Linked DNA regions of Callithrix jacchus. The protein of the gene in region 1 interacts with the protein of each later gene in a biochemical or structural test. Links are inferred from orthologs where the notes say so. Each region holds a gene or a part of one and is shown on either strand. Other genes may lie near its edges.

Evidence for each region. The genes of interacting proteins can lie anywhere in the genome.
Region 2: of the proteins of IKBKG (region 1) and NFKBIA, one has a biochemical effect on the other in vitro, tested with the Homo sapiens proteins (15 studies listed by BioGRID and IntAct). The link is inferred for Callithrix jacchus from reciprocal best matches to the Homo sapiens genes IKBKG and NFKBIA.

What each region holds. Positions count from the first base shown.
Region 1 is NC_133524.1:150,333,193-150,338,865, forward strand, and holds the start of IKBKG (NF-kappa-B essential modulator), read left to right. Parts: upstream 1-1,893; 5' UTR 1,894-1,992; intron 1,993-5,673. UniProt on the Homo sapiens protein: Regulatory subunit of the IKK core complex which phosphorylates inhibitors of NF-kappa-B thus leading to the dissociation of the inhibitor/NF-kappa-B complex and ultimately the degradation of the inhibitor.
Region 2 is NC_133509.1:69,915,525-69,921,371, reverse strand, and holds NFKBIA (NF-kappa-B inhibitor alpha), read left to right. Parts: upstream 1-2,204; 5' UTR 2,205-2,313; coding exon 2,314-2,528; intron 2,529-3,136; coding exon 3,137-3,245; intron 3,246-3,575; coding exon 3,576-3,786; intron 3,787-4,083; coding exon 4,084-4,172; intron 4,173-4,279; coding exon 4,280-4,540; intron 4,541-4,889; coding exon 4,890-4,937; 3' UTR 4,938-5,440; downstream 5,441-5,847. UniProt on the Homo sapiens protein: Inhibits the activity of dimeric NF-kappa-B/REL complexes by trapping REL (RELA/p65 and NFKB1/p50) dimers in the cytoplasm by masking their nuclear localization signals.

The DNA.
Region 1 (5,673 bases):
TTCTGGGTAGATGATAATGGCCTTTATTGTGATGAGGAGCATAGCCAATTGTAAAGGTAAGATTTATGTACTGCTATGTGCACCAACAAAAAGACAGCGAGAAAACCAGCAATGGAGTGGAGGCTGGGGAGTGGGTCAGAAATGACCCTTTGGGGGCCAGCAACTGTGAGCAGCCTCCCTGGGTGCAGAGCATATTCTGTTTCTTGATCTAGGAGCAGCTTCTGCGGCTCTGCTGATTTTGTGTTCTTCATGACATAGACTTCTTTTGAGAGGGAGTCTCGCTCTGTTACCCAGGCTGGAGTGCACTGGTGCAATCTTAGCTCACTGTAATCTCCCACCTCCTGGGTTCAAGCAATTCTCCTGCCTTAGCCTCCTGAGTAGCTGGGACTCCAGGCATCTGATACAGAGCCTGAGTAATTATTGTATTTTTAGTAGAGATGGGTTTCCCCCAGATGGGTTAGCCAGGCTGGTCTCAAACTCCTGACTTCAGGTGATCTGCCTGCCTTGGCCTCCCAAAGGGCTGGGATTATAGGTGTGAGCCACTGCACCTGGGCGTGACATATATTTCAGTAAAACATGATAAAAAGTAATAGACAGTCTAGGCATTGTAGCTCACGCCTGTAATCCCAGCACTTTGGAAGACCAGGGCAGGTGGATCACGACGTCAAGAGATCAAAACAATCCTGGCCAACCTGGTAAAACGCTGTTTCTACTAAAAATACAAAAAATAAGCTGGGCATGGTGGTGCATGCCTGTAGTCCCAGCTACTCGGGAGGCTGAGGCAGGAGAATCACTTGAACCTGGGAGGCAGAGGTTGTGGTGAGCCAAGACCACGCCATTGCACTCCAGCCTGGGTGACAGAGCGAGACTCCATCTCACACACACAGATGAAAACAAAAGACATGCTCTTCAAAGCGATCAGACACTGCAATCATGGATGGGTCCGTTTCTATGAACCATTATAGAATGGAGGCCATGCCACCAGGACACATGCCCCCATGAAACAGGCAGTTAGGAAGCCACCGGGGGCTTCCAGGTGGGAAATTGCTATGGTGTGCATCCCTTGTGTGCTCTGCTTCTGCCCCTCCTTGGGTGAGCTCGGTGCAGGGCTTCAGGTGGGAGCTGCAGGCAGACTGCTCCTGAGTTTCTTCCCGGCCCAGTTACAAGTGTCTGTGGGTCATCTCCAGGCTGCACTGGGACCTCAGCATCCCCACAGTGGGCTGTTCCCAAACCAGGGTTGCCTGTGTTGGTATCGGGGGGCTCCTAGCCACCTGCCATTTATCTCTTGAGCACTCTGGAGTGGGGCTCTCCTGTAACTGCCACATGAAAGTTTTATAAATGGTCTCTTTGCCCCCCAGATGCTGCAGTGACCGTCTTGAAAATAAAGTTCCAGCCCTGCCACCAGCTGGTCTTGGACCACCCATGAGACCTTCTCACCCATCACTACCCGACATGAAGCCCAGTGCAGCCCTCCTAGCATCCAACTTGCTGCTCCCTGAAGCCACAAGGACCTCTTGCTTCTGCATCCTTCCAAGTCCACCTCAGACGACCCCTCACCCTGGGGTAGGAGTTCCTCCACTCTGCTCCTCACAGCACCCTGCCATCAGACTGGGGAGGGGAACACTGGCCATGGCACATCAACTCAGGGTTGTCCCCGCACACAGAAAGGGCCAGCTCGCTGGGAACTAACTTGTCCCTGAATGAAACGGTAATAACCACAGCCTGCAAATACCTCTAAGCCTCACTCAAAGCAGGTCATGTTTGCTCATGACCAAATTCTGGTAGATCAGGAGGCATTGGGACAGACTACAGGAAGGTACTGTTGGCAGGGGACTGGTCTGCTGAGTCACAGCGGCCCCACGCTCCAGGCTGTTTGTTCCTGCTGCTCCCTTTGGGATTAACTGGAGATTGAACCTGTTCGCCTTGTTCCAGCTCAGCCCCTGCAACCGACTGTCTGCTGGGATCCGAGTCACCTGAGAGAAGTGAGTCGAGGTAAGACAGAGGATGGCGTGGGTGGGGGAAGGCCAGGCAGCTCTTTCCCATGGTGACGAGGAGCTAAGCTGAGCTGAGCCGAGCAGAGCCAGACTGAGCTGCTCTCCTCAGGGCTCAGGGCTAGCCCTGCCCTCCCAGCTGGCTGCAGCGCTCTAGTGGGACTTTCTGGAGGGACAAGTACAGGAAGACATGGGAAAACCTGACAGCTTAGTCAAGAGTCTACTCCTGCCATGTGGGTGGGGGCAATTCAAGGGATCCTTAGTGAGAAGCAGCTGGGAGCTTCTCATTTTCCCCACGCCCTCCTCTTTCCTGAGGACCACAGCAGGGGAGGGACCTTCTTGAGGACACAGGGTGACTTAGTAGAAGCAGGACACGATTAAGATCTCCAGCCACCAATGTCTGGCTCGGCCAGGGCAAAGGGACCTAGGCCACGACCTGTTTTATAAACCCAAATCGCTACAGCTCGTCTTGGCGTGAGGGTTTCATGGTAGAGGGCGATGCCTGCTGGAGAGCCAGCAGGGGTAGGCCACCCCATCCCCAAGGGTCGCTAGGGTCAAGGACCTGCCCAGACTCCCTGGGTGGAGCCCGAGAACCTGGGGGCTGCTGAGTTAGCTCAGTTGAAAAACCAACGAAAGGGCCTCCCTCCTAAACCCAGGGGCTCATGAGTCACCGGGTCTTTGGGAGAGTGCCAACATCATCATGACACAGCAAGAATCTTATCGGACCAACGGAGAAGTCAGCCCAGAAATGTTCCGAGGAAAGGGAGGGGTGGGGGCCGCTGAACGCCCAGCAAGCCCATGGCCCTTGTGATCCAGGTGGGGAATCTGAGGCCCAGACAGGTGAGGAACCCGTAGACTCTCAGTCCCAGTCTCTTCCCCTCACTCCCTGGTAGGGGTGGGAGTCCTGAGAAGGTGGGAAGTGGCCCACTTGGTAACTCTGAGCCGTCATCAGGGCCCCCAGGAAGGAAGCTGGGTGTGTGCGCAAGTGTTGCGTAAGCTGGCCAGGAGGAGGAAGGGACAGATGAAGGCCACGTGGGTACAGCCTGCCCCAGGGTGTCCCGCTTCCCTGGCTGTGGGTCTGCCAGCCACTTGCCTGCTTGCAGTTTCTAGGTCACGCCAAGCTAGTTCCCAACTCAGGGCTTCAGGCATTTGCTCTTCCTTTTGTGTGGGTGCTCCTCAGCCTGCCCCGGCAGGCTTGCTCTCCAGGCCCTCCTTGTGGGATCTATGCGCTCTGGGGGGCTGGGAACACAGGGCCCACATGTATCTTCTGCTTACTTGCTGTGGTTCCCTGGCCACCACAGCACATAGGTCCCATGAGGAGGGCAGGGACTGGCTACTGTGGCCCAGAAGTGCCCGATCACTCTCTTCTAAATGAATGGAAAATGGGCTATTTTCCTGGAGCAACAGATTCTAGGATTGGGTGCCCCCAAGTGCATCGAGTGAGGCATCGGGCACGGAAGGAGCCTGGGAGTGGGAGCTGCTCCAGGTGCTGCCTGAGCACGCCACCCCCACCCGCAGCAGGAAGAGGAAGAAACCAACCACAAGGCCCTTCAGAGAGAGGACCCCTTGTCCTCTACCCACAGTGCTGGAGCTGGCACCGTCAGAGCAGAGGAGAGCAAAGGGGAACCCTACTGATTTCAATGAAACAAAGTTGCCCAATACCAAGCTGGCCACAAGTGAAGAAAGTGAAATGACACAATCAGCTTGGAAAACCCTAAGGACCCTGGGCACTTGTTTCAAAAGCTGTCATTTGCTACATGAAATGCTGACAGTCAGAGAAAGGAAAACACTTGCTCCAAGTCACACAACAAGTTTGGATGCTCAGTGAGGTTGTCTAATGAGAGCTGAAGGCCTGGAGTCATAAGCCATCATTGTGGCCTGGGCTGCTGTGTTGTAGTGTCCTTGTGACAGCATGGGGTGGAGACAGGGAAAGGAGAAAGCATCCTCAGTTACCTTCTCCTCTAGTCTGCTTCTTGCACTAAGGGCTTAATGGTCAGAGTCCTAGGTGGTAAGGTTTGTGACTGATGCAGGTATGGCTCTTTTAATTTTTTTTGACATGGAATCTCATTCATTCTGTTGCGCAGGCTGGATCACTGCAACCTCTGCCTCCCAGGTTCAAGCAATTCTCCTGCCTCACCTTTCTGAGTAGCTGGGATTACAGGCAGGCGCCACCATGCCTGGCTAATTTTTGTATTTTTAGTAGAGACAGGGTTTTGCCATGCTGACTAAGCTAGTCTCAAACTCTTGACCTCAGGTGATTGCCCGCCTTGGTCTCCCAAAGTGTTGGGACTACAGCTGTGAGTCACAGGGCCTGGCCAGGTATGGCTCTTCTGAGAGGACTAGGCTGGGGCTGAAGGCAAGCCCAATCCACTGTGGGCTCCACCTGGGTACCTCTCCTGGGTCTCAGGCATATGGGGAGTCAGAGGACAGTGCTTGGGGTGGCCCTTCCTTACTTCTCCCTCGGCTGCCTCCTCATTCCTTTTCTAAGTTCTGATCAGAAGTACAAAGGTGTCAAGGAGCAGGTTTGCAAAGTGTGACACTGCATTGTTGTACGTGAACAAAGAACCACTAAGCTCATCCAGCACTCAGGGACGCGTGATGAGGAAGAGCTCATTAGTTTTGAGAGAGCTCTTGCTCAAGGTTATAAGATACTTTTTTTTTTGAACTGGAGTTCTGCGCTTGTCACCCAGACTGGAGTGGAATGGTGAAATCTTGGCTCATGGCGAAACCTCTGCCTCAGCCTCCTGAGTAGCAGGGATTACAGGTGCTTGCCACCACGCCTGGTTAATTTTTTGTATTTTTAGTAGAGATGGGGTTTCACTGTGTTGACCAGGCTGGTCTTGAACTCTTGACCTCAAGTGATCCTCCCACAGTGCTGGGATTACAGGCGTGAGCCACCGTGCCCGGCCTGGTTACAAGGTAAATGAATGGCAAAAATGGTCATACGGTAGTGAGCAGATTGAGTGCATCCACGATTAAAAGTGAAAACTGAAACGTATAATTTGAGATGAAGCTCTTGTTTCAACAGCCCCTGCAGTCTCACTGCCCCATGTGACATAGGTGAGGGTGCTCCAGTCTGGGTGATGGCTCTATTAGAACCGCCCCTTCCAGGCCGGGCACTTTGGGAGGCCAAGGCGGGTGTATCACGAGGTCAGGAGATCGAGACCATCCTGGTCAACATGGTGAAACCCTGTCTTTACTAAAAATACAAAAATTAGCTGGGCATGGTGGTGCGTGCCTGTAGTCCCAGCTACTTGGGAGGCTGAGGCAGGAGAATTGCTTGAACCCGGAAGGCAGAGGTTGCGGTGAGCCGAGACCGTGCCATTGCACTCCAGCCTGGGTAACAACAGCGAAACTTTGTCTAAAAAAAAAAAAAAAGGAAAAAAAAGAACCGCCCCTTCCTCTCCTCCCTCCCCTCCCATGTAAATCCTCATGCTATACTATTCTTTGGTCTTTCCTATGAGTACAAAATGGCGGTTCCACAAGCTGGACAATTGGGGCCAGGTGGGGTGAAGCAGAGCTCCTTGGTAGGCTTTGCAAATTGAGGCAAAGAGCCAGTGTTCAAAGAAAGGCTGAGTGTCTGTCTCCAGGGAACTTGAAGTCTTAGAGAGCAAAGGGGCAGAGATTGAGCCTCAGACCCTGCCTTTGGAACTCATTTGTTAAGGCATGAACAGGTTTGGAA
Region 2 (5,847 bases), on another chromosome or scaffold:
TGGGGGTTGGGGGACATCCACCCTTTATTTTCCCTAACGGAGTAGAAAATCGTTTTGAGTGTATTCCAAATTATAGGGTAGTCGGTCTGATTTTCACAGTGTGTTTTCAAAAGTGTTAATACTAAGACTGCTTTGGCCAAATGATTAATATACTGCCAAGGGGTTTCTGGGTAAATTTCTATGCATTTCAGTTTCTTTTTAGGAAAGTAGGAACAATATCTATCTTACAGGATTACTTCTGAGAACTAACAATGTGATGCATAAAGTGCTGGAGTTCTTTCAAAAATTTATGGCATTTCCAAAAGCCATAGTCACCCTTACAGAAGCAGAGTCAGGCATGCATTTGTAGACAAGTAATACGACTTTAAAGCTAGAAAAGACCTTAAGAAGCAATCTTATTATAAAAGTAAGTATACCAAAAAAAAAAAAAAAAGTAAGTATACCACAAAAATGTTAACTGATCTCTCCAACTAATGTGCAGTTCAGTAAAGACAGAACCCAGAATTGAGATGCTCCGACTGCAGTCACGTTTCATCTTGCCGCAATCATTGTGTATTTGCATATCATAAGCCTACAGAGACAATGGTGTCTATCCCTGGGAAGTTTTCATTGTAACATGTGATCATTACTACCCTGGAGGTTCTATCTGATTTTAATTTTTTTTCCTTCACACTTGGTCTATCTCTGTTGAGTCAGATTTCTTATATTCTAATATTGGGGGAAAGGTGGAGATTTGAAGAGAGGGGAAGGATTGGTTAGTACATGGCCAGTCAAGGTAAAGATGACTGCAATAATCACCAGAAATCTCTGCAGAACTATAGAGGCCTCCCGGGACTAATCCTGAAGAGCTCTGATTGAAGTTTGCTTTCTTTTGCCTATACCAACTCTATCAAGTAGAATTCAGTCCATGACTTGTAGACTTGGAGGTGGAGATGGGGTGGAGAGCAAAAATTCTATTTCTGCAGGTAAAACCAGAGCACAGTGAGCCCAAACCCCTTTCTACCTGGGTGGCATGAATGAGTCCAACTGCTACCGTCCCCCCGGACAATGGAGCAAGGAGGGGCGGGCAGGACCAGACTGCCTTCAGCCTCCCGCAGGATGCCTGGCAACTAGTTTCTTAGTGGTCCTTACGGTCCAAGCGCGGTTTAAGGTACTAACTAAACTCATTCTTCAGTCTCCTTCTCCAAGTGTTCCTGGAGAATTGCTCAGTTTGCACCCAGAAGTAGGCTCAGGATCCATTCTCTGCAGCAGCACAATGTAGGTCAGAGAGCATGAACAAAATCGCTACTTAGGAACACAATAGTTATTTTGTTATTGCAAAGTATCCACAACCACTACTACAAAGATTAGCACCTAGCTTTACTTAGGGGGAAGAAAATCCTGGTCCTATTTAGCAGTTTCCCCCGTACAGGGAGAGTTCACCCCTCCCCCAGTCAACAGAGCTCTTCTTCCATAGGAACTTATTTGAGAGTTCTCCAAGGATTTAGGTTTTCACTCCAAAGCTTTCACAACTTCTATCTGGCGGGGTGTGCGGGGGTGGGGGTGGGGGTGGGGGTGGGGGTGGGGGTGGGGGTGGGGGTGGGGGTGGGGGTGGGGGTGGAGAAGCTAAGCGTCCCGGTGCTGCAAAGAGCCTGGTATTGGTAGAAACACGTCGGCGGCCTGCAGCCTTCTAATCACAGTGCGTCCTTCCCCTTAGAGAGAAGTCTGCGGAAAGCAAATCCCTACACCCAGCCATCATTTCCACTCTTGCGTTTTCAAAAGATCAAAAAACGGAAAAGACCGGCAGGTTGGCAAACCCCAAAGAAGGACTGCCCATCAGGTCGGCGTCCTTGGGATCTCAGCAGCCGACGACCCCAATTCAAAGCGATCGTGGGAAACCCCAGGGAAAAATGGTTAACTTGCAGAGGGACAGGATTACAGGGTGCAGGCTGCAGGGAAGTACCGGGGGCAGGGGGCCTGGTAGGAAGGACTTTCCAGCCACTCGGCGCTCATCAAAAAGTTCCCTGTCCGTGACCCCAGTGCCTCATCGCAGGGAGTTTCTCCGATGAACCCCAGCTCAGGGTTTAGGCTTCTTTTTCCCCCTAGCAGAGGACGAAGCCAGTTCTCTTTTCTGGTCTGACTGGCTTGGAAATTCCCCGCGCCTGACCCCGCCCCAGAGAAATCCCCAGCCAGCGTTTATAAGGGCGTTGGGGCGGCGCTGCAGAGCCCACAGCAGCCCGCGCCGCCGTACCGTTCGCCAGCGCTCCAGCGAGGAAGCAGCGCGCAGCCCGCGGCCCAGCGCACCCGCAGCAGCACCCACAGCTCGCCCGAGCAATGTTCCAGGCAGCCGAGTGGGCCATGGAGGGCCTCCGCGATGGGCTGAAGAAGGAGCGGCTGCTGGACGACCGCCACGACAGCGGCCTGGACTCTATGAAGGACGAGGAGTACGAGCAGATGGTCAAGGAGCTGCGGGAGATCCGCCTAGAGCCGCAGGAGGCGCAGCACGGCGCCGAGCCCTGGAAGCAGCAGCTCACCGAGGACGGGGACTCGTAAGTGGCGCGGGCCAGGGGTCGTTGGGAGGACCGGACGCGCGCAGGCGGGGCTTGGGGGGTGCTGGGCCTGCAGCCCGAGCCCGGGGACCAGCGCTGCAGCCGGGCCAGCACCGCGGCGCCCCGGGGCTCCTGCACGGCGCCGAACGCTGCAGGGCCGCAGGGCCGCGCGGGACTCCGGCTGGACTAGGAGGGGCAGAGGCTCGGCTCTGGTGGACCGCAGCGTCGCCACACGCCCCCTCCCCCCCATCCGTCCTCTAGGCCGGGGGCGGGGCGGCGGTGGGGACGCGAAGTCCCCGGTTGCATAAGGCGGGGCGGGAGTTTCTGGCCGCTGGCGGGCGCCTTGCAGCCGGGAGGGGAAGTACAGGGCGTTCCGAGCCGGCGGGAGGGCGGGGCGGTCTGGCCGGCGCCCGCCGAGGCCTGAAGGAGGGGGGCGGAAAGTCCCTGGGCGCCTGCCAGGAACACTCAGCTCATAATAACCTCGCGGAAAACACCGCGGCCTCGGCCTCCAGAAACCCCGGCCTTGCGCAATCCCCCGCAGCCCGCGCCTCCCTGGGCCCCACGCGGTGCACTCACCACCCCTGGGGGTTTTTCCCTCTTCCCCACAGGTTCCTGCACTTGGCCATCATCCATGAAGAAAAGGCACTTACCATGGAAGTAATCCGCCAGGTGAAGGGAGACGTGGCCTTCCTCAACTTCCAGAACAACCTGCAGCAGGTGCGCACGTGCCTGGCCCGGGCTTTCTTTGACCCTGGGACAGAGCTGATGTAGCAGAGTCACCCCAGATCCTTTCTGAATTAAGGGCCACTGGGCATTATTCACCCCTGCCGTTTACTTCGCATCAGCCCCCATCCTAGAGAGGGAAGGAAATTCTATGGATTTGGTGAGGTCTTTATGACCCACCTGGAGCCTCTGCTATTTGCCAGCCCTCCCCACCCTCCCACCTGGGAGGAGCAGCACCCAACCAGGAGACATTGGGGATCCGGGGAACTCGGGGTGTGGGTTTGATTCATGGCTTACTCTCTCTGGTTTCTCTTGCACTGGTAGACTCCACTACACTTGGCTGTGATCACCAACCAGCCAGAAATTGCTGAGGCACTTCTGGGAGCTGGCTGTGATCCTGAGCTCCGAGACTTTCGAGGAAATACCCCCCTACACCTTGCCTGTGAGCAGGGCTGCCTGGCCAGCGTGGGAGTCCTGACTCAGGCCTGCACCACCCCACACCTCCACTCCATCCTGAAAGCTACCAACTACAATGGTATGTCTGCCTTCCTGCCCTGCCCCACCCCCTCAGAGGGCAGGTGACATGCAGAAAGGGCACGTGGGCCAACTTAGGGAGTCCAGGAAAGAGCTTAAACTCCCAACCTGTGAAAGATCGAGAAAAGATGTGTGCAATATGCCTATTGGATACATTTTAAAAGTCCCTTCAGAACCCAGACTGGGGTTCTTAAAATTCAGAAGACATGACTGTTTGTCCCATAAAAGAATAGGTGAAAGGTGCTGCTTTAGGAGGGTTGAAACAAATGGTTATGCTTTTTTCCTTTTGTTCTTCCAGGCCACACGTGTCTGCACTTAGCTTCTATCCATGGCTACCTGGGCATCGTGGAGCTTTTGGTATCCTTGGGTGCTGATGTCAATGCTCAGGTGAGTGCTTCCTGCCTCCCATGTTCTGAGTCAAGCTCCTCGTGCTTGTGTTGCAAGCAGAAATTCCAAACGCAGCCATAGGCATCTCAAATTCCTTTTGGTTTCAGGAGCCCTGTAATGGCCGGACTGCCCTTCACCTCGCAGTGGACCTGCAGAATCCTGACTTGGTGTCGCTCCTGCTGAAGTGTGGGGCTGATGTCAACAGAGTTACCTACCAGGGCTACTCCCCTTACCAGCTTACCTGGGGTCGCCCAAGCACCCGGATACAGCAGCAGCTGGGCCAGCTGACACTAGAAAACCTTCAGATGCTGCCAGAGAGTGAGGATGAGGAGAGCTATGACACAGAGTCAGAATTCACGGAGGATGAGGTGAGTCTGAACTGCTTCAGTATTCTGTGAAATTAATGGCGGGGGGGCTTTCCCTTCACCCTCCCAGTCCCCTAGAGCTGCTCTTCATTAGAGGAATGTCCATGTAATGAATCTCTCAAATTTCTGTGTATAACCAGTATCCCAAGAATGTGCCTTTTTTTTTTTTTAATAGCGCACTGTTTTTTTTAAAAGAGAAGCATTAAAGGCAAACTCCCTCAACCTGTAAAGTTCACTATATTTGGGCTACGGAGAATGGAGTCCAAGTGTTATTTCCAGTAGCAGCTTCCCCATCCCAATAGCTTGGCAGAGCTCCAGAAGTTTAACGTTCTTTTTTTCCCTTTGTTTTCAGCTCCCCTATGATGACTGTGTGTTTGCAGGCCAGCGTCTGACATTATGAGCACAAAGGGTCTGAAAGAACGTGGACTTGTATATTTGTACAAAAAGAGAGTTTTATTTTTCTTAAAAAAAAAAAAAAAAAAAAAAAATTTAAAGGGTGTACTTATATCCATACTGCACACTGCCTGGCCCAAAACATTTTACTGTGGTGGGATCAGCCCTCGTTTTGTTACTTTCGTGAACTTTTTGTAGGGGACAAGAAAGATCATTGAAATTCCAAGAAAACTTCTTTTAAGCTTTACCTTTGTGGGAGTTTGGATAATGTTATCAAAAATTTCATGGAAGGACCACATTTTATATTTATTGTGCTTTGAGTGACTAACCCCAGTGGTATCCTGTGACATGTAACAGCCAGGAGTGTTAAACCTTCAGTGGTGTGGGGTTAAAAGTTGCTACCTGTCAAGGTTTGTGTTACCCTCCTGTAAATGGTGTACATAGTGTATTGTTGGTAATTATTTTGGTACTTTTATTATGTATATTTATTAAACAGATTTTTACAAATGAGTTATTCTGATCAATTTCTTTGAGCTGCCATGGGCCTCCTGTTCTGAGTGGTTCCATCCTCTGGCAGAGGTGAAGGTAGATCATTGTAGGGGAGCAGGGAGCGGCCAGCAGCTTCTCACACCTGACACCCAACCTCCAGCAAAGCTTTGCAGGCAGCCTGGGCACAGTGTATGTGTGGGAGGGAGGCTATTGCAAGGTTATAGGAAATGCCAGTTTCAGGCTAGGAGTGGAAGTTTGCTGCTCGGCCTGTGGTTGGAGAGCTCTCTGTTGTCATCCTGTCATCCCCTTGATTTAAACTGTTCCAGGACCCTAACTTCCACTTCAGGAAATCATTTTGGCCGAGAAGAATATGCTGAATTCATATTATATATAGCTGGGAAAGATCTCACTTATAGTACAGGAAGTTC